Linked DNA regions of Drosophila melanogaster. The protein of the gene in region 1 interacts with the protein of each later gene in a pairwise test. Each region holds a gene or a part of one and is shown in the gene's direction. Other genes may lie near its edges.

Region 1 (3,756 bases):
TAATGATGCCAAAGTCCTTTTCTGCGTTGCTTGCACTTTTGCTGCCGCCCTTCCACAAATTCTGTTTTGTTTTATTCTTCGTCTCAAATGGCAGACCCGAAACCCATTCAGATCAAGAATTTACACCCAAGTTGAATATGTCGAATTGGGGATACCCAGTGATTGGAAATCATTTGAATACGCTGGTAGTTAGTAGCACTGCATCCAACAGATACAAACTTGCTTGCAACTTGTTGTAAATAATTAATGAAGATTATTAATATACTAAGTAACAATCCAACGGATGCCTGATTACCACATTAGTGAGAGACCCATAAAGATTACAGATTGAGGGGTATCCCACAACCCGTGGCCCGAAACCCGCATCGGCAGCCCTTTTTTGCATGGTGCGCTCCACTTGGGGCGCAGTGTGGCGTAAAATGAATTGAGACATTCGGGCTCGCATAGAAAAACCCGGATCCTCCGGCCGAAAACCGCAGAGGTTCGGAGGTCCTTCAACAACAACTTCTGTGCTCTGCAGCGCCCTGAATGCAAAAGTGGCAAAAGTGGCAAAAGTTTTGCACCACTCGGCCGATGAACCACTTGAGCCCCCCACTTTGTTGTGCATTCAGGTGTGAAGTTTTTGGTCGGCGCACAAAAGTATGCTACAAATAATTAAATCATGCAAGGCAATTGCTGGAGTGTGTTTGTGTGGAAAGAGAGAGAGAGAGAGCGCGAGAGGGAGATGAAGAGACCGGAAACACTCGCTCCTTCTCCCTCGCGGCGAGACAAGTTCAATGCCGCCTTAAGGTCCTTGTCAGCCTGCCATCTAGTTTGATATTATCTAATCGATATTTATATTCCTAGCTCGCTGCCACCGCTCCTCCCGACCTTTCATATTCCTCCCTCGTCTGTTTTTCACGAATTGGAATTTGCATATGACACAGGAGCTGTGGACCCACAAAAACAAGGAGGCGAAAGCCTGTAAGAACATTGGAACGAGGCCGAAACGAAATCGCCAGTGGCAAAACACGCTGGCCTCTTCCATCACGCTGGTTTACTTTTTGCGATGGCCGGCATTTCCGCTTCCGCTCAAAATGCACACCGAAACGTTCAATTACGGAGCCAGAGAGAAAGTTCAACTTTAATAATTTGTTTTTTGTAAGTGAACTGTACGTTTTCCGGCACACTCTGAATCCAGTTTTTTTTTTCGAAAAAAAACAATGTTATTGGAAGTAGTAACATCAATATAATTCCATTTTTGAAAACTTTTATTATGTAGATAAATAGAGAACTATAAAAAACAGATAGCCAACTCGTACTTTAAATTTTTTTCGTGCTTTATATTACTCTTACCAGATAATTTAACAAAACCCTTGCTATAAAACAAAGGAAAGACCACGAAAAGCAACCATATGGAACCGTCAGAAACCAAAACTCACGTCGAGATAAATTGAAGTTTATTTGCTCGACTGCTTGCGGCTGCTGCACTTTTTCCAACTTTTCTTCTCCTGTTTTTGGCAGACACTATTTGCTCTTCTCACCTGCATAATTTATAAGCTAGAAATCATTTGCATGCAGTTTCCTTGCACTTTGTTTGCCTCCGTTTTCCGATTTTCCTTATTTTTTTTTTGAACAGGAAGCGTGGAACACAAGCTGCCAAGAATGTGAAATGTTTGTGTTTGACTTTGGCTTCGATATGTTGCACTTAAAACAATTGACGGCAAACAGGGGGAAGGTATCCTGTGATTTGGTCTAAACATGAAAACTGGTCAAAATGTATCTCTTCCGTTCGTTTTCCGACGCTCTCGCCAGAGGAAAGCTCTTCGGGAAAAGCTCCACTCGGATTTTCCTTATAAACGTAGAGCACTGATAAAAACTCGAGCAGTTACCGTTTCGGTCGCGTAACGACAGCAGCAAAATCCGAGAGCTGCGTTCGTCATTAAAGCCAAAACAATCAAAAACAACAAGACCGAATATATGAAAGTAACAGTTCAGAAAACAGACGAAATTCTCACCGCAACTCGCCGGTAAAAAGTGGGAATAAACAAATTGGATATACAATTAATTTTGCGCGGAGAAAAAAACTGAGCGAAGCAAACAGAAAGTGTTTTGTTAGTGCAAAGTGTGAAACTCAAATAAACTTTACAATTGGTGAATTAATAAACCGAAGCTCCACAAATGAGGTAAGTCAAAAGAAGCGTAAAAAGAGCTATAGAAGCTGAGTCAAATTAAAAAACCCCAGAGGAAATGCGCTAATTAGGAAGGTAACAAATGCTGAAAGAAGAAAAAGTTTTAATGTGCCATGAGATAAAATTAAGCAGATGGCAGCTTAAAAGTAAAAGTGGTAGGACCTATAAATGTTCAAGGATTAATCCACAACATATTTACTAAACAAATGCAACAAATAAGCCTAGCTAAATAGTCCTTAGTTTTTTACAGTTTTAATCTAAGGTCTTCAGCAACTGTTATTCACTTCAAAATCACTTTCATTTACTCTTCAAAATATACAAGTGCAAAATACCTTTTCATTTAAAAGTTGATATTCATGCACTTCAGCCCCTAACACTCGTTCAAAATTCTGCGAAGCGTACCGAAATCACATACAGAAATCACTCAAAAAATGTTTTATTTCGTCTGCCTCCATTTCACAAAAAAAAAAACGGTATAAAATCCCAGGGGGAAGTGGCAATTTAACGGCAGTTTGTACCCAGACAACCTTTAAAGCCCTGTTTCGACTGCCTTTAGCCCGCTCCGAAATGGGTCTTTTGAGTTTTGCAGCTACTGTTGGCCTGGTGGAACGTATGGGCTTAAGTTAAGCACGCAGGACCAAGGTTGGGATAAAAAATAAATTTGGAGCACGAAAAGTAAAAGCGATGCTCAAGTGGCACGGCGCTTAACACAAATTAGACGCACTTAATTACGGCCCAAACAGTCGCAGCTAGCGGTCGTAAAATGTATAAAAAATATTATTGGAACCACAACCGAGCCAACATCAGGCAAATATATTTAAGCAGTTCACCAGAGAGAGAGTGGTTTAAGAAGTGGCTGTGGGTCTGCAGGAGGGTACTTTCAATTTCGGGCATTCAGAAGTTGCGGCTTAAAACTCAATTAAACGAATTGGCAAAAATTTAATTACAATTTCAGTTTCCTTTTCGTTTTTAAAGGAGATCACCAAGGACCCTTCGCACAGAAAAAGAGCCAGGGAAAAAGAGGATGGGCGATGCGGAATGGGGCTGAATGGATGCTAGATAGACAAGGCAGCGGGCAAATTGTTTTGCCAGCTGCTGGCAAAGTTCATAAAAAACTAATAGTAATGCAAACTGAAAACAATTAACTGCGTTTATGAGAGGGAAATGACTCAAGCTCGAAATGCTTGGGATTAAAGAGAAACTTTGATAATAAAGCCATCGTCTTATGAAATATATAATTAATATGTATTATTATAAAAACAAACTTTGATTGTCATATTAACTTCAAAGAAAATGTGAATGCAAATTTCACAATTCTATATGCACACTGCCAATCTAAAATCTAAAAGCTAATGGTATTTAATATAAAAAGTTTGAACTTTAGAAAACATACAATAAGAGCTCGTTGAAATGTTCTTGTATCGAAATAAATAGTAGCTAATTACATATTTAAATTTCGAAAACTTACAAGTCTGCCCACCCATATTGGCCAACCAAAGTTTTCCCGCCCGAAGCTCAACCCTTCCGCTAATGCCAACAACTTCGGGAACAACAACAGCCATTTCCTGTTCCTCTGGGCCCCAAG
Region 2 (3,756 bases), on another chromosome or scaffold:
ATCATGAAGCCATTTTGTTAATACTGCACAATGTATTAAATGTGCATGTAGATCCACATACATATGTATATCTATCTATTCGTCTAAATAACAAATTAACTAGGATTACCTCCAGTGTCATGCAAAATCGTAATCTCCAAAATATGATAAGAGAATTAGAATTTCGACCCGAAAGTAATCCTGGGTTTTCGCGTATAGAGCAGGCAAAAATCGATGGACAAGCAGAGGACATGTGAACGCCTCTAACCTCTCATAGATTATGTAGATCACATTTAGCACGCGCCACTAACCAGCTGCCACGTATTAACCAATTATAATATCACCAATTTAATAGGCGGCAACCAACGAGACCTGGCCCGCCAGAAGAACCAGAAGAAGCAGGCGGATTTGACCAAGGGAAAGCGAACCGATAACCTCACCGTGGAGCAAAGGAAGGCCAGGTGAGTGATTTACATTTTCAATGTATAATGTATAAGATATAATATTATTAATAAACCAACCCATAACGCAGGGACGCTGAGTTAATGCGGGAGAAGCAGAAAAAAAAGGAAGAGGCCGCTGCGGCGGGCACAAGCAAATAGTCAACCCACTGGCTTGATAGAGATCTGGACTCCCGGTTGCATTTCCGGACAGGTTAGGCTTATAGTCAGTCGTTCGTCAGCCAAGACCCCGATTCGCCCAAGGACCTAGGATAGTTGGTTAGAATGTACATGAAGCAACATACATAATTCACGAGAATTGTATACAACTACGCATAGATATTACCGGGCTGTACAGCACGCGACATAGCAATAGCAATAGCAAGTGCCACCCAAGGACTTCGATTCTGTTCCGGTTTTTGTTCATTTTCGTTTGCAGTGCTGCTGTACGATAATTAAGTAATCTTACATTTTATTTCTCCACCTACCTGACTAAATTATTTACTGTAATGTATATATATAAATTTTCAAATAAAACATAATATGCAGCCGACAGAAAGACTCAATTATGTGTTATTGTGTTTGACGAAAATATATATATAGATTATGGCACTCGATAACGGTCGATTGCTACCGAAAATTAACTTTAACTAATGAATCCCTTTTCTAGCAAATATGGTCGCCGAAGAGAGAGATATAAAGATTGATAATCCCAGAGCAATCCCCATAAGTATAGCTCAAGAATGTTAAATATAAGCCTTAGATCTTTAAAATCGGAGTATGAATAGGGCGCTGGATACGACCTACTAAACTTCCTGGTCTGATTTAAGCATGACCTAATGAGGTATTTAATTTGCCTCGAGTCATGCTGAAATTTGCATACAATGGAATATGGATATTTGTAAATGGCACGATTTGATAAATATGAAAGTAGCTGCATGCCAAAGCTTGCCCCACAAAACTATCGCCTAGATGCCAATAAGTCGATTGCTAGCATTTACCTTTTACAGAATAAATGACCAAAAACCTGGCCACTAACGACTGGCAGATGCACACAAAAAACATGCTGCTAAATAAAATTTCAGTTTTAGTTTAATTTTATTTTATTTATGTATAAGAAAAGATATCAAGAAACAACAACGAATTTTGCGCAAGACTGGTAAACTAAGTCATTGAAACTTAAATACTGTGACTTTTATCTTTTGGAATACCTATCTGTTTTCGAATAGATCTTCATACATTGTGCCACAGTGCACGGTCTTATTCATGGCCAATAAAGGCAGATGGGGTCATGGCGTGCTGATGTATCTTCGGCTGAAATCTCGAGTTCCTTCAACGAGGAAAACAACACGGATGTAATGAGAACGTCCACTGATTTGTTTGACTTGGCTAGTGCAATGCGCTGTAGAAGATCGCCTCACCATTGTTTGACCAAGTGCTTGATATCTTCATGCCGGAACAGCAGAGCAACGTGGGCCATCGAAACGCCTAACTGGTTTCTGCTGTTTCTGCCTCGGAGAAAGCTTCTTGCCGGTCACGCAAAAGCTGTCTTAACTAAAAACAGCGTCCAAGTTTTGAGAACTTTTCAGCCAGCTAGCCGAGAACGAGCGGAAAAATCAACTAACGCTCGCAGATGTGAAAAATCGCGATCGCGAGTCGGCTCTCACGTTGGCGGCAGCAGCCCGCGTTTTCAGTCGCTCCGTGAAACCCGTCGCACTCACATCGAAATCGCGCGCAAGTCGTCGGATCCAAATCGCCTCGAAACGCTACGCACTTGGAGGAGGCAAATATCAAATATATGAGAATAATTAGTTAGGAGGCAGCCGAATCAGCGGAATCAAATCGATTTCCCTCGACTGCATTTAGCAGTGCTGCACCATCAAATCAAAAATAAATTAGAAAGTGTAAGTGAATATATGGCTGGCTGCCAGGAGACTGACATTATCAGCGGAGAAATGCAGGCAGTTGGCAGCCGATTGGGCGGATCGGGAGATCAATCGATCGCCGTCGCATGCAAATCGAGTGATAAACGATCGCCTCGAAATTGAAATAACAGGCGAGCAGCTGGCCCCCGGAGGTGGATACATATGCATATGTGTGATCAAACAGAAGTGTTTCTCGGGGAAGGGCGGCGTGAGGAGTGGGAGGAGTAGGTAGCCCCCAGTAGCCATATACTCATATACCTATCTATACTATACAGCCAGTTACCCGACTTGAGGCGCGCTCGTCTGCCTTGCGGTTGTATGTGCTTATTTATACAAAATATATTCAATTTCATTAAGCTGTCGCTGCTGGCTGGCCGTCCAGTAATTTCAATATTCAAATGATCGCTGATAGCTAAACCCCCTGACTTTTTTACTTTTCTGAGCGCCCGCAAAAGCTGCGGTAAAATTGAGAAAACCGCAGCGTATAAATAATTGGAAAACAATAATGCCACTGTTTGATCGCTGACCCAAATTGGCAGAGAAAATGAATGCATCTTAATGAAAACAGAGTCAGTCTGTTTGCTGCAGGCATAGCGATCTATATAGTCGATGCACTCGGTGATGTCAGAATTGCGAACTGACATTGAAAGTCTGCGAACGGCGACAACCTGAAAGCCTTCTTCTTTGCCTTTTTGGGGACCTCAAGTTGAACACGTTGCGAGTTTAGGGATAAGTGGGCCATCCAGCCCAGTGTTCAGGTGTGCGGGGGCGTATACGTAATATGCGCGCCTGGCATACATTTCAACTGAGCCACATTTTGGCTATTCGCCTCAGTCGCGAACCATAAAAATCACATCAAAGCCCCAAATGAAAGCGTCGTTCATTGAATCTTAAGTGGCCACTCCTCCTGGGAAGTAATTATAAAGGGAAATAAACGGTCTTCAAGACAAAACTGTTTCTAATCCATCCACATTTGGCAAAGTTCAGTGACGCGCATCCACTTGGAAGCAGTGAAAAATGAACAATGTGAAGGTTACTCAATTTACAAGGCAACAGATAACGCCACCAAATTTTATTTGACAAAAAATATTCTGGCAGAACAAGCCAAGGCGTTCGCACACCTACGCCATACGAGATGGCACATGGGCGTAGAATTCTCGACGAACAGGTGTTGAAAATCATAAGGTGGAGTCCCATTCCTGACCCCAGACAGCCACTGATCAGAGATTGTGAGAGCTGTTCCAAAAGTTCCACCGCTTTTGTCGACTCTCTAGATTTCTAGTTGCTCGCGACCTTGTGATCTATTAATAAGTGTTTCGTGTTTTTATATATGAATCATTTTGATGGGCGATCTGTTTATGAGTTAACTTTCGTTTGGCTGGGAAAACGAAAAGCCCAAAATCCGAAAGATC

What was found. The genes of interacting proteins can lie anywhere in the genome.
Region 2: the proteins of CG32204 (region 1) and CG10311 interact in a two-hybrid assay, tested with the Drosophila melanogaster proteins (one large-scale study listed by BioGRID).

The regions. Positions count from the first base shown.
Region 1 is NT_037436.4:18,944,142-18,947,897, reverse strand, and holds the start of CG32204 (uncharacterized protein), read left to right. Parts: upstream 1-1,859; 5' UTR 1,860-2,165; intron 2,166-3,756.
Region 2 is NT_033777.3:16,355,367-16,359,122, reverse strand, and holds the start of CG10311 (uncharacterized protein), read left to right. Parts: upstream 1-2,107; 5' UTR 2,108-2,323; intron 2,324-3,756. Other genes in the region: CG17931 (uncharacterized protein), read left to right, coding at 335-440, 512-581.